Diceros bicornis minor: one gene and its partner. The protein of the gene in region 1 interacts with the protein of each later gene in a pairwise test. Links are inferred from orthologs where the notes say so. Each region holds a gene or a part of one and is shown in the gene's direction. Other genes may lie near its edges.

Evidence for each region.
Region 2: the proteins of ATXN1 (region 1) and TRIM32 interact in binary tests that used the Homo sapiens proteins (3 or more experiments, as listed by UniProt). The link is inferred for Diceros bicornis minor from reciprocal best matches to the Homo sapiens genes ATXN1 and TRIM32.

The regions. Positions count from the first base shown.
Region 1 is NC_080753.1:50,433,746-50,441,450, forward strand, and holds the start of ATXN1 (ataxin-1), read left to right. Parts: upstream 1-4,686; 5' UTR 4,687-4,908; intron 4,909-5,747; exon of another isoform or gene 5,748-6,073; intron 6,074-7,705. UniProt on the Homo sapiens protein: Chromatin-binding factor that repress Notch signaling in the absence of Notch intracellular domain by acting as a CBF1 corepressor. Binds to the HEY promoter and might assist, along with NCOR2, RBPJ-mediated repression. Binds RNA in vitro.
Region 2 is NC_080767.1:24,431,544-24,439,004, forward strand, and holds the start of TRIM32 (E3 ubiquitin-protein ligase TRIM32), read left to right. Parts: upstream 1-4,447; 5' UTR 4,448-4,482; intron 4,483-4,720; exon of another isoform or gene 4,721-4,768; intron 4,769-7,461. UniProt on the Homo sapiens protein: E3 ubiquitin ligase that plays a role in various biological processes including neural stem cell differentiation, innate immunity, inflammatory resonse and autophagy.

The DNA.
Region 1 (7,705 bases):
GATTTGCTCAGATTTTTAAATGACATATGTAGGATAACACCCTCCTTATAATAGCATGGTCAAAGGTCTGTCAGTGTTTCCATTAAAAATTCAAACTTTCCAGGATTTATGACACAGCCATAACAAATTGCTCCAGGCAGAAACTTGGCAAATCTTTCTTTAGCGTAGGAGGAAATTCTTGTTAATAATTTTTTTAAAGATATAAATAAATAAATGTTTACCATTTGAATTTACTCATAAGATTTTTTTGTTAGGGAAGGCATTCAGATAAAATACATCTCTGCATTTTGCTTGTTTTACAAATTTGAAATATTAATATTTCAAATTATTTTTGCCCTCCCACCTTCCAGATGTTATGCAATTGCCCTCCCACCTCCCAGATTTTCAATGATTCTAGTATTTGATTCTCATATTTGGAAGTCTGATTGATGTAATGACTCTGAGAGGTGCTGGATCAATCAACTATGAATCTTTAAGTTTCATCATGGTCAAAATGAACATTTTTTCAAAAGATTAAGATTTGTTTTGCTGTGAATTCCTTGCAGACAGAGATGTCTTACTCATCTTTATATTCTCAGATCCTAGTTATTGTAGATGCAAAATAAATGGCTGCTGGTAAATAAACAATAAATACATGAGAAGCAGCTTGAGAATTAAGACAGTCTCTTATTTAAATATTCACTATTAAACATTCACTATCTAGTAACTGAAAAACTGTTAAAACTGCAAAGAACACGCTGCTGGATTTGAACTTCTACCATTCCCCTCCTCTCTGAACACCTGAATGGATTATTGTAACAATTAAATGACCCAGTGCTCTCAAGGCACAACCTGGTTCCAAAACTTTTTTGAGGCTCGGCTTTCCTATGTCTCAGCCACCTCACAGAAGTGTGTGAAGATGCAGTGCGGAAGACTGTGCAAGTATGAAATGCCACATAGATATAACTGAAACGTAAACCCTCACCACTGCAAACATAAGGATAAACCCCTACAATTACTGTGAAAGTAAACATGGTGAAAAGTTCACATTTTTTCACCAACATATTTGACTCCAAATGAAATGAATTGATCTGACGTAGTGTTGGGTTAACTGACCCCAATGTTTTTAGATAAACAGGAGTTACTCTTCGAGTTGCCTTTTATTCTGGATCCTGTTATCTTTATTTCTGACGGGAGAAAAACTAAGGCATCTTTTCCAAGTATGACTTTTGAGGTTTACTTTCTAAGAATTCAAGCCTAAACTCTAAATAAGTATAGCTATATTGTATTTAATTTCCAATCTGTCCAATTATCTAGTTGTTATAACTTGGTAAGCTGTTTGAGTTTGCTTGTTTTTGTTTTGCTTTGTTTTGAATGATGTAAGAGGTTACTTCCAATGAAAACTTATAGTACAATTTAAAATCCCTTACCATTTGGAGGGCCCATGCACTGGTTTTATTAAGCACTCTTGTGCTCCCTCTGCTGCTGTGAAGAAAACCTTCACATTCAAGACCCCAGTACATTGCTCCCAGAGTGTTCTCTCAGCAATGATGATGCAGATTTGTGCATAAATCAGGGCTCTTTGGAAATGCAGTACTATTTGAACAAAGCATAAAATATAATAATTTTCCATTAACAAGTGCAAATTAATAACAGGGTGAGGGAGTAAAAAAGGAATAAATAGAAGAATTAAGTTCTGCAGCTGTGGCCAGATTCATCTAGACAGGGCCCTGCAGTATAGACAAGGTTCTTCCTACTATAATGTGCTTAGGAATCACAAGACAGATCCTGATTCAGTAGAATGGGGTGGAACTCTCATTCTGAATGTCTAAAAAGTTCCCAGATGCTGCTGCTGTTGCTCTGAAGATTACGCATTCAGAAGCAAGATGTAATACATAATTATATGATAGAATATATACTTGATAGCCCATTTTAAACCTTCAAAAGTAGATACTACCAAAACAATGAAATAGACATAAGGGTTGAAAATGATTTTCCATGGTGTTTAAGCAATCCAGAACACATATTAGGAGTAAGGCTCAGCAGGCCTTATTTCTCAATTTGCTCTAATTTCAAAGTTTGGCCTATGCTCGTACGAATATAGTATCAAGTTTATGAATAGGACTATAGTACCACATTTTTGTCTACTGGCTTCTTGAAAAGCCATCTCTTCTTTCATTGAGTTTTTATTCACATGAGAAAGTCTTGCTTTTAAAGAATCAGTGCCAGTTGTTTGTGATTGCACGTTTAATATTTTGCCATCTGAAAAGAAAACATTTCAGTACTGAAGGTAAAGAAACTCCATCATGAGTATTATGTTTATGTTGGACCTTGCAGGAAGAAACAGTTACAGATTTTAATGGCAGTTTATGGCTTTAATCTTAATGGCTAAGCAAGTAAATGACACATTTTTTATTAATTGTTCTTACTGTTTCGGTAATATACATATTTCGCTTCCTTGAGGGAACATTTAAATTAATTGACTAACTCTAATCTGAATTATGTGTTTTCATTTAAGGCTGTTAAAATAACTTAAACTAACTGCTTATGTCAATGTAATAATTAAAAGATTAGCTCTTTTTCACCCCAAATTCTCTACACGTAAGATGTCTAAAAATAAAGTGGAGGTGGATTGGACAGTCTGCAGATCAGGAGTTGGAATAAAAACATCTCAGTTAAGCCAAAAACATGGCAACCAATATTTTCTGTTATAAAAATATTTTAGATGAATTTAGTTTTTATGAAATCTGTCTGAAACTGAAATGAATAGCAGCAGCTCTCTGTTTATTCGCAGGCCAGTAATATAATACCTGCCGCACAACGCATACGGCTTTTACGTGCAGAGCCAACAAGCTTCTGCTCCTTTCAGAAGCCGGCTCTGCCAAGTGGGGGGAAGAGATATTACCCGGTTATGTTCTGAGATGTTAACCTTCACCTTGATAATGCTTGTCAACGAAAACACCACCAGGCAGAGCCTTTTCAGAAAACTGATTTTAAACTGTCCACTAGAGGCTGTAAGGAGACCAACAATATCACCTTAGTCCAACCTCGAGGTTTAAACTGTAGCAATCATTGATTGTTAAATGATAAAAAAAAAGTTGTAGACATGAGTAAGAGTGAACAAGAGTAATTCTATTTAAGTAGCCATGTATATGTGCATGGTATTTCAAAATGTGAGAAAAAAATGATTTCCGGGGCCCTACACCTTCCTAGTTAGTATGCTTATTTTTATTTCTGTAGCACGTTGACTCTACAATACAGTTGTTTAAAAGCTGACATATTTCTCTTGGTGATTCTGTATCCTGCTTCAGTTGGTGACTAACCGTTAGATCATAAGTAAACTCAGCCAAAAGTTTTCTTAAATACAGCTTACAGTCAGTAGTGGTGGCTTCCCGAGAGAAACTTACGTGGAAGGATCATGTTTCCAGACACTTGGTTCTAAGCACCTGAAGAAAGTCAAACGCTGTCCCGACACCTACTGGTCTTCCAGAATTATCTGCATTAAGGAGAACGCCCCACCGACCTCGCTATAGCGTGGATGTGCTTTCTCTTCCTCCAGGTGCCACACCTGTTGGCAAGGTGCACCCCTCCAAAGAAAATTCTTTCCCATCGAGCTAACACCTGGCAGTGGTAGATGCCGAGGGGGCGGGATGGTGGGGAGTTGAGAACCGCACTTAAAAATTGAGTCCAGAGGAAGTTCTTCAGCGCGGATTCACAAGAAGTGCCATTCGATGCTCGGTTTGCTTTCTTTATCTCCTACACTGGTTACCTCATTTCCGATTAAATTAATGATCCCGAATTAGCTGCAAGAGGAGTGCGCGGGTCGTCTACCAAGGCTAGAGCTGGGTAGTTCAATACCCCAAGCAGATTTCCGGACCTGCAGAGAGAAAAAGGAGAGCAGGGAGGTCACCGGTTTTCGCAGGCAGTAAAGGTAAGGGTGCACGTGCAATCGGGGGGACCCTTAAAACTTTCTTGAGTTGCACGCAAAGGCAATCCCCGCGGCCCGGTGGTCTGGGTTCCGGAAAGCCCAAGCTAAACCGGTTTCAGGGTTAACTTGCATGACGATCGAAGTCAGCCCTCTTAGATGCTTCTCGGCGCGCCGGGGACGAAGGGCACGTCGGGATCAGAACTGGCCACCTCCCCTTCCCCTGGGGTATTTCATGGGCTCGGAGTTGAAGCCCGACACCCCTCGGAGAGTCCTCCAGGGTGCCCGAGTTGCACCCTGATGTCGCTCTGTTTTCTCCAACTAGGTGCAGGGACCCGGGGAGGCGCGCGAGGACCGACCGGTCACCGCTAAAATTACCTCATCGCTTCAGCTCCCCGCCCCTTTCCCAAACCTGGAAGAACTCTCCCCTTCAGCCCGTGTCTCCCCTCCCGCCCTCCTCACCCCGATCGCAATCCAGTCTTTGGGAAACGCGCCCGCCTCCCCCGGGGCCGCCGAGCCCGGGCAGCGCGCACCGAAGGGTTAAGGGCGCGGGCCGCCGCTGCGCCGCGCGCTCGCGGTGCTCACAGCGGCTCTCTCCGCCGCCCGCCAGAGGGTGCCCCCCCGCCCCCAAGTCGGATCCTTGAGCTGCGGCGGCGGCAGCCAACTGCTCCATATTTGGCTTCTATTACACATTTACATACTGGAGCGAGCGAGCGAGCGCGAGAGAGCGCCAGGGAGGGAGGGAGCGAGGGAGGGCGGGCGGAGGGGGGAGGGAGGAGGGAGGGGAGGGGAGCGGGGGGAGGAGGAGGAGGAGGAGAGAGCAGAGTATACCGCAGACATCATTTCTACTACAGTGGCGGAGCCGTACAGGACCTGTTTCACTGCAGGGGGATCCAAAACAAGCCCCGTGGAGCAGCAGCCAGAGCTACAGCAGCCGCAAGACACTGTTTCTCTCCCTCTGCCCCCCCTTCCCCACGCAACCCCAGATCCATTTACACTTTACAGTAAGTGGCTATTTTTTTTTCTCCTCTGATTCTTTCCCTCCTCCCTCCCCCCATCCCCTTCTCCCCTTATTTAGATTAAAATCCCCCCCATCCCCGCTCTCCCGAGAGGGGTAAAAGCAACAACCGGCAAACAAACCCCAAACCCCAAACCCCAATCGGCGGCACGAAAAACAGCTGGAAGAGGAGCGAAGGAAATCGACGCGTCGTGTTGTGTTATGTGTGTGTATGTGTGCGTGTGTACATACAGCCTTCCCCTGCTCCAGCCTCCCGGGCCGACACCCCCGCTCTGGGCGCAGGGACGTCCGGCAGGGGGTCTGCCGGGGCCGGGTGGGCGCCCGCCGGGCGAGGGGGTGCGCCCGGTTTGGGGGCGCGGGCGGGGAAAGCGGCGGCGGTGCCCCGCTCCGCGGCTGCCGGTCCGGCGGAGAGTGCGGCGAGCCATGTCCTCCTCCCTTGAGGTGGCGTAAGGGGAGACGGCGGCTGCCGGGGGTCGCGCTGCCCCCTCCTCCCGCGGCCCCCTCCTCCCTCTCTCCAAAGAGGGCGGCGAGAGCCAGTGGGTCTGGAGGAGGGCTAGGCTTCCCCGCGGGTGGCCGCCTGGCCTGCGAGCCCCAGGGTGGGGGTCTCCCCGCGGAGGCCGGGACTTTGCGCACGGCCGGGCGGTGGGAGCGCTGGGGGCGCGGAGGGGTGGGAGCGAGGGGAGCCGGCGTGCGGGTGCCGGGAGCGCGGCTGGAGTGGCGGTGGCGGCCCTGGCTGCCGCCACCGCCGCCCTGTTGGTACGGCCGCTTCCTGATCATGTGCAGCGGCCGTCGCCGCCGGGAGCCCGCGAGCGCCCCGGCCCGGACCGGCGCCCCCGCCAGCGCCCGCAGCAGGAGCAGAAGAGCCGCGGCCGGCGCTGCCCTGCCTGCGCCGGGAGTGAACGGCTGCGCCGCTGCTGAGAGGGTGAATGAAGCCAGGAGGAGGGGAAAGAGGAGGCGGCGGCGGCGGAGGAGGCGCTGCGGGGATTGGGATGCGCCCTGGAGCCCCGCTGCTCGTTCACTCTGGGCCGTGCTGGAGACTCTGCCACTCCCGCGGCCGCCGCCGCCGCTGCCTCTTCCTACGTGGTTCCAGAGCTGCGCGCAGGCCGGTCCCGCAGGGGGCAGGGAAGGGGGCCGGACGGGCGGAGCGAGAGGTGAGGCGGTGGCAGAGCCCGGCGTGAGTGCGAGTGCGTGTGCGTATGTGTTTGTGTGTGCGCGGGGGAGGGGGGCAGCGAGGGCAGTCGCCATGGGGAGGGAGCCCCCTCTGTGGCCACTTGGCTGACTCTGCAGCGCCCCGACCCCTCCTCAGCCTCCCGCCCTCAGGCCGCCTTCCTAAACTCTGTAGCTTGTGCTTTCATTTTATGTCAGACCACGTAGTGGGCTGACTGGCAGCGATGAAACAATTCAGGTTTTCTAGGGAGATTGAGCAAGAACCTTAGTGGGGGGTGGAAGTAGGGTGATGTTGGAGATCCTGCCAGAAAACAACAAAAAAAATCAGTTTCTAAGAACTGTGGGGTTCGGTTCAATCCCGTGGCTGCTCTGTTTTGTTTTGCTTTCTTAGTATATAATCCGACAGATAAGAGGGTAATATAAATAGTTGGGAAGGTTGGGAAATTGCTGAAGAGTAGTAAGGGGGGAAAAAAAGCCAGTCGGAAGCTGGTTATATAATGCGCGATGTGGCTAACGAGAACGGCAAGCTATTTTTATTTTGTTTACCGTATGCTGTGCAGTAGGGACTCCTCCAAACTGGTTCTGTCCCCGAAGAGATTCTTAGCTTCCGTGTGAGATCCACAGGATACAATTAGCAAAATTAGAAGACCCTATTACACCCACAGAATAAAAACTAATGCCTTAGAGTGGCATGCTCCCTGCACATCCTGTCGTGCATGCACGGCAATGTGTGTATGCAAATAAGTTCTCCTTTGGGAATCTAGTAGTCACATCTCAATGACATTTGTGTTTTATAATGCAGGGTATTCTTAATATTTAAGCATCATCTTTACATAGAGCACACACAGTGGGTAGTTATTTGGTGGTTATTTTTAGTCATAGCTAGTTACTTTTTCAACAATGTTAGCTAAGCCATTTCTGTTTGGGTTTCTGAGGAGCCCTGCAGTTCCTAGAAGCTCCTGTTAAGCCCACCCTCTGGTGTATTTGGTGGGTGAAGGTAGTTGGATACTTGAGCTTTTTTTGGAATGAAGCTTATGCCGTTATGCCGGAGGAAGAACCAGAGAGAAGGATGGGAAAATCCTGCACATGAACTCGTAGAAAGGGATTGCACCATAGCGGCTAATGCTGTGGCGTTTAATCTCCTCTGATTGCCCTCTAACTGTGCATGCATCAGTCAATATTTTAGCAGCTCCACACACAAATGGTCTTGAATGCCACCTTCTCTGTAAAGCAGAGGTTGAAGGGCTCTCCTGCCTGCCTTTCTCATCATGAAGATACTGTCAGTGGTGTAGGTTTTCGTTGCACTTACTCCAGCCCTGATCACTCATGTAATTAGATCAGGCTGCCATGGCAACAGACAGTGTTCCTCGTCCATTCAGGTGGGTTTGTCTTGTGCCTGGACTACTCCAAGTGTTTTATGCACAGTATTTGTGCTGCCCAAGCCAGACGAGAGACTTCACTATTTCAATTGGTCTTCTTTCAGTCATCTGGACTGGAGACACTGAATGAGGCTTCTAGCTACTCAACTTTTATAAAGGAGACCCACAGGCTGTTCTTACTGGGTGCAGTATGTAAATGCATCTCCCTGGACAGTGAAAGGAGCCCAACAATCCTGC
Region 2 (7,461 bases), on another chromosome or scaffold:
TCTTAGAGAACCAAAACCTGGGGCCAGCCCTGTGGCATAGTGGTTAACTTTGGCACACTCTGCTTCGGCAGCCCAGGTTCTCGGGTTTGGATCCCGGGTGCAGACCTACACCACTTGTCAGTCATGCTGTGGTGGTGACCCACATATAAAACAGAGGAAGATGGGCACAGATGTCAGCTCAGGGCTAATCGTCTTCAGGAAAGAAAAAAAAAAAGAGGAAGATTGGCAACAGATGTTAGCTCAGGGCAACTCTTCCTCAGGAATGAATGAATGAATGAATGAACAAATAAACAAATAAATGATGTTATATATAAAAAAAAGAACTGAAACCTGTCAACAACGACATAAGTGATCTTAGAAATCAATCCTTCCCCAAACCTTCAGATGAGACCCCAGCCCTGGCCAATAACTTGACTGCAGCCTTGTGAGAGACCATGAAGCAGAGGACCCAGCTAAGCTGTGCTTAGATTCCTGACTCACAGAAACTATGAGATAAGAAATGAGTGTTGTTTTAAAACATGAAGTTTGGGGATCATTTATTGCCCAATGATAGGTAAGTAATACAGATAGATATAGTTTTATATTATTTCATGAAAATTCTAGCAATTCTAAATCTCTAGACTCAGACAAATTTGGCTGGGATGTATTAGAGCTTAACTGCTTACATTTTCTCCCCCACATTTTATAAGCAAGAAATTCCTCTTCCTTCTCAGAATTCAGTTGCTAATAAGAGAAGAAAAGGAGAATATTTTGTAGAGAATAGCAATAATAACAATAATAATAATGACTACAGTAGCTAACATTCATAGAGCACTTATTCTTTACCAGGCAGTGCTCTAAAAGCTTTAGGTTTATTAAGTCATCTAACGTTCACAACATTCCAATGTGGTAGATAAGTACTATTACTCCCATTTTGCAGAGGTGAAAGTTAAGTACAGAGAGGCTAAGTAAGTTGTCCAAGGTTACAGAGCTTGTCAGCTGCAACAAGTTACCAAGCATTCCTTCAAATCATCTTCTAATCTATTCCCCCAAATAACCTTCCAGGTGGGTAGAACTGGGTGGGTAGAACTGGGATCCTCCAAAGTCCTTGCTCTTTCTACTACATAGTGGTGGACTTAATAAACAAACTTATTTACAATAATAATAAATGCAATACAATGAACATTACTACTACAATGAACATTACTACATGTTAGGCAACATCCTAATCTGTAAATGCTTAACATCCAGTATCTCATTTTCTCCCAACAATCCTGTGAATTAGCTATTGTTATCCCCATTTTAAAGAGAGGTTAAATTAGAGATCTTCTTTGTAAATAGAGAAAACAATACTTAGCCCATAGGGTGATGTTATTGGTTGAAGGTTGAATTGTGTCCCCTAAAAAGATATGTTGAAATCCTAACCGCCAGTATATCAGAATATGACTTTATTTGGAAATAACGGCATTGTGGATGTAATTTGTTAAGATGAGGTCACACTGGAATTTTAATTAGGCATGATAGAGGTCATATTTAATCTAATCTGACTGGTGTTCTTATAAGAAGACAGAGACACACACAGAGAGGAGAATGCCACATGGAGACGGAGCTACACAGGGAGAAATGACGACAAGAAGATGGAGGCAGAGACTGGAATTATGCTACCACAAGCCAAGGAACGCCTGGGGCCACCAGAAGCTGGAAGAGGCAGGGAAGGATCCTCCCTCAGAGACTTCAGAGAAAGCATGGCCCCTCTGACACCTTGATTTCAGATTTCTAGCCTCCAGAACTGTGAGAAAATAAATTTCTCTTGTTTTGAGCCACCTAGTTTGCGATACTTTGTTATGAAAAGGCTAGGAAACTGATATAGGTAGTTTAAGTGGTAAATGGTAACTGTGGTTTTCAGCAAACAGGGTGCTAACTCCCTACCTGGTCTGAGAAGAGGGTATAAGTGAGGTCTTAAACTATTTCACAGCAACTCTCCCATCTGCCCCCACCTACAAGACAGGGGCTGGTAGAAGTACCCAGGCCCCTGTCCAGAGAAGTTCCTTGCCATTCTGGTAAAACAGGCCACTCTGAGTCTCCAACATGGCAGGAACCCAGGGCAGAGGGCAATTCCTGCTTTTCTCTGGCAATGCCGCTCAGACCAGCTCATCTGGGTGTCTTTGCCTTACCAGGATCATGCTCTGTGGTCTTGACAACAGCCATGATTTGCCCCATATTCCTTGACTTCCTAAGCATCATCATCTCTCCTTCTCTCTTTTGAGTCTTACAAACAAGCCTTACTCAACAAAATAGAAAGATAGCTGGTGTCATAAAATGTGGATGAGTCTTTGGATGGTGGTTCAGTGTGTCATAGGCCTGACTGGTCTGGGTTTGTACCCCAGCCCTACCACTTCCCAGGAGGTGACCATATGCAAGGTACTTAGTCTTGCTGAGCCTCAGTTGCCTCTTCTGCAAGATGCAGCTACTGATATCTACCTCAGTCATTGTTAAGGGGATTAATTGTGACGTGTGACAATATCTATGAAGAGCCTGGTATACTGCTGGTGTTCAAAAAATGGTCCGCTCTTTCCCAACTGACCCCACTGAGTCATTCTGCAGCTAGAATAACTCTAGGTCAGACAGGGATATGATTTGCCTAAGGTCACATTTCTAAGTCTGACTCAGCAACTCTTATGTGCTGGGCACTAAGCTAATAGATGTGATGACAAACAGGCACTGTCCCTCAGCCCACTAGTGAAGACTGCAGGGAAGTGGATAATTAAAGCCCAACCTGGTATGTGCTTTGCGAGAAGTCATCAAATTACAAGTCCTGGTACTTGCTGAGCATGCAGCAAGCACCTCGGAGTTCCCAGAAGCTCAGGAAGGTGGGAGAAGCACGTACTTCTCTTCCCCTGGCCCTGCAAGGTTCTGTTTGCATCCACGGGCTGCCAATTTTGAGCAAAACCTGCCCCCAGGGCCCATGAGTCCCTGACTGGGCCCCCTCTTCAGCCCACTCCTGACTCAACCTATTCCTGGCCTGTCTGGTCAAACCCTAGCTGGCCCTGGACTGCAAGTATATCCTTGAGGTCTCAGATAGCCCCAGAGCTCCCTAGCCTGTTCAAAGGATGCCATGAAGTATACCAACTCTGACTCCTGTTGCCCTCAATATCTGAAATGCTGGGAGCTGGGGCTTCTGGAATCAGCAGTCCAGAGAGTGTAAGAGCTAAGTGGAATTTAAAAAAATATTTACCATTAATTAAGTGCAAACCACTATATATTCATAATCTCAGTTAATCCTCACAGCAAACTTCATCTCCATTTAGAGAAAAAAATGGGCAGCAAGATTAAACAAGGTTAAGAGGGTGGATTCTCATATAGAATTGGGTTCCAATCTAGGCTTTATACTTATGATCATGTGGCCTTGCTGTTTAACCAACTGGGCATCAGTTGCTTATCTAATAGGGTCATTATGAGGATGAAGTGAACTACGCATATGAAGTGCTCAGCTGCAGCCAGACACTAAGTGCTCAAAGATGTTAGCTTTGCTACTGTTTTTGTTTGTTGTTTTATCATTGTGCAAGGTCACATAACTAAGTGGGATTTCAAGTCCAAGCCCATCCTACTCCAAACCCCTTCCTGCTCCTAACCTATACTACATGGTCACCTGCAAGAGCCGGTAATTGGCTTCAAACTACCTAAGGGGCCACAGGTTCTTGGCAGCCAGGAGGCCAGACCACCTCCCACCTGGGAAGACTCTACCCTTTCCTGGCTCCCTCGAAGCTAGACTCAGGTGTGGGTTCCTGGGTATCTTCAGTGTGCAGGGACAGGAGCTGCAGACTGTATTCCCATATTTACCTCTGCTGTTGGCCTCGCAGCTGAGTAGGCGTAAGACTCCTTCAGCAGAACAATTTGTTCATCAGATAAACTTGTCTCTAGGCGGCGGTGTGTCACAGGGAGAAACATGGGGCCAGAAGAACTACGTTTCTAAGCGAGCCCAGGTTCTGTGTTTGCCCCCGAGGGTAAGTTGTATTTCCTTGGTCCTTTTGTCAGATGGGAAAGCTGAGGTTCAGAGAGGCCTTTCTGTGAGGCGCCAGGCTTTGCTGAGGACCACTCCTGGAGGATGCGATTTAGCGACGGGGTTGATACAGACTGGAGTCAGACACGTGAGTTCTGGTTTACCTCCCGACTCTGAGGGAACTTGGGCAGGCCCCTTTCGCCTCAGTTTCTTTATCTGTACAATGGCCCTCAGTTTCTTTATCTGTACAACGGGGACAGGAACCTGAGTGACGTGTTCCTAAAGCTCTGCATATCTCAGCGGAGACCTCGCCCCTACGCGGTCACTCGCGCCAGCCAGCCTACAAGCCCCAGCATGCCTCGGGGGGGGGGGGGCGGGGCGCAGTGATGGACAGGCGGTTCTGTGAATTGGCGCCCGCCAAGGGCCGCGCGTTGGCGCGTGCGCAGAGGGCGGCGGGCGGGTGGGCTGGCGACGGTGGACGCGTCGGAGCCGCGGGCGGTCAGGTAGGGGGCGGGAAGGAGGGTGGGGGACGAGGGACCGCGGGCAGAGTCACGGACGGTGGCTGAACGGCGGGGCAGGGGCTGTGCTGGCGTGCAGCGGCCGGCCCACGCCCGAATGGCAGGGTCTGGGGGCCGGATCCTAGGGGCAGGGCCGGGGTGGGGGTGGGGCTGTAAGGGGCAGGCTCGGGAGGGATTCGAGGGGGCCGAAGAGCTAGGAGAAGATGCAGCTCCGGGAGGGGAGCGAGGGGCTCCGAGAAGATTCGCGGTGCAACATGTCAGGAGGTATGAGGTAATGTGGGGGCCCTGAGGAGAGATGGTGTGCAGCATCTGGGAGATGGGAGGGGATCTGAAGGCCCTGAAGGGATCAGGGGTGCAGAATTTCGGACATATGGAGGAATTTGGGAGCCCTGATGAAATCTGGGGTGCAGAATCTCAGGAGATTTGAGGGAATGCGGGGGCACTGTTCTTGCGGGGGGGCCGCAAAATCTGAGATCAGAGGGAGCAGGGTCAGGGGCTATCCTATTTGCTAAGGAGGCAGCGTTTTCCCAGGGGGAATCTGGGGAAAATTGAGAGCCTGAGTTCTTGGGGGATCAGTGGGAAGCAGTATCTTGTTAGCAGAAAGAAGGGACCTGGTTAAGGTTTGAAGGCAACGTGTGCCATGACGTGGGTAAAAGAGGAAGGAGCAAGGTTGGAGGGCGGCACAATGCCTGATGGAATGCAGGGGATGGGGGCTCGGATTGAGGTGTGGGATTGGGGTGTTAAACTGGGATGCTGGGTTGACGGCTGCAGAGATTTGGAAACAGGGATTAAAGGATGTATGTCAGAGGGATTTGGGGTGCATGAGTGAAGAATCGGTGAAGGTTGCAATATAGAGCCCAAAAGGCTGGAATTCTATATTGTAAGAGAGTTGGGAACAGGATTTGGGGAGGGTTGAATGGTGGGGTGGGGATGTACCAAATGAACTGTAGAATTAAAGGACTCCGAATAGATTTGTGGATTGGTGTCATGGGCTGCTAAAGAAATTTTCTTGAAGTCTCTGCATGGGAAGTAAAAGGAGTTCTGGGGACCCAAGGACCTAGAAGTAATGTATGAAACCATATATGAGTGTATGAACTTTAGGAGAGTTCAGGGGTTCAGCAACGAAGTCATGTCTCCAGAGATCAGGACTCCTGAAGGAGCCTGACTTTCCTTGTGAGGGACAGAATCGCCCTCACTCATGAACCAAAGATCCCTTATCCCGAGGCAGCCATGGTACTGCCACTAACTCCACTCTGAGCCCAGGCCTGCTGAAAGTGGTAGGCTTGGGGGGAGAAGAGAGTTGTCAAAGGGAGCGTGAAGCAGGAAATTATTCAAGGTCATCTGCCTAAGCTCCCCTCTCCCTGTTCCCCTAAGCTGTGATAGCCGATAGTGTGTGAGACCTCCAAAGGATGAGGGAACAAGACCGCAGGCCTTATTTTCCTCATCAGTTGAATAAGTAGATGGAATTAATCCTATATAAGGTCCATTAGAGCTTGAAGAGGCAGTGCGTCTGTGAATGAGGTGTTTGGGCTCGGAGAGAGACACGAAAACAGGAACTCATATATATTGAGCATTTAGTCCTGTGCCAAGTTCTAAAGCAGTGGTTCCTACAGGGGCTGGTGTTGTCCCCCAGGAGACATTTGGCAATGTCTGGAAACATTTTTGGTTGTCATCGTTGAGATGTGGGGTACTACTGGCCTCTGGTGGGTAGACATCAGGGATGCTGTTAAACATCCTACAGTGCACTGGTCAGCCCTCCAGTCATAAAGAATTATCCGGCCCAAAATTTCAGTAGTGCCAAAGTTGAGGAACCCTGCTCTAGAGTCAGATGTACTGGATTCAAATCCTGGCTCTATCTCTTCCTGACTTTGTGATCTTGAATGAGTTACTTAACCTCCCTGTGCTTGGCTCTTCATCTGTAAAATGGGGTTAATAACAGGACTTACATTGTAGGATTGTTGTAAAGATTCAGTGAAGTAAATCAGAGTACCTAGTGTCTGGTGTGTAGTTAGTGTTCAAAATTTACTAAGTTTCAATTCTTATGGGTACTTTCTTACTCAGTTTTTATAATAGCCCTCCTAAGTAGGCTCTAGTTTATCCAGTTTTACATATAAGGAAACTAAGGCTTAGGACGTGACTAAGGATCCATAGCTGGGAATGGCAGAGCGAGGCTCAAATTCAGATCTCTGTAACCCTGTATATTCCCTCTCTCTTGTCTTTTCCGTGCTGGGGCCTGCTTAGTCTTATTATCTCAGCCCATTCCCCTCTAATGAAAGGATTGCCCAGTGAGGATGGCTGAATATCAAATTAAACTGGAAAGGGGATAAATCTATCTGATTAGGTAGGGAGTAGCCCTGGACTTTGTTCTTGATTTGCTCTTAGACCAGGACCAGTGGGTAGATAAAGGGAGGAGCTTGAGGTAGCAAGAGGATGAGGTGAAAGGGACTAGAGTGTGAGGTATGGAGGCCACTGGCTTGATAAAACACCTCACGCCAGGGATTGAAGCTGAAGGCAGTCATTCTCTAGAGAGTAACTGCTGTTCTGAATGATCTCTTCTGGGCATCCTTCCCCTGGGACAGAATAACAGCATTTGCTGTATCAGCTCCAGAACTACCTACAGCATTGCTGAAGCCAGTTCAGAAACATAGTAGGACTGTGGGTCAGAAGGCAAGAGACTTAGCTGGAATATCCACACTCACACCCCTAAGGAAAATTATGTAATGGGAATCAGTCAGCCTGGGAATCAGTGGCTTGGCATCCAAAACTCTTTCCTCTGCTGCTAAGTTACTAGGTGATCTTGGACCACTTGCCCTTGTATTCTTCAGTGTAGTAAAAATATGAATAGCTACCATTTATTGAGTGCTTACTATGTGCATTCTCTCTCCTCCTGGTGATCCTGCCAGCAGTCTAGGTGCTACTCCGCATTTCACAGCTGAGAAAATCAGCAGGTTCAGTGATTGGCCT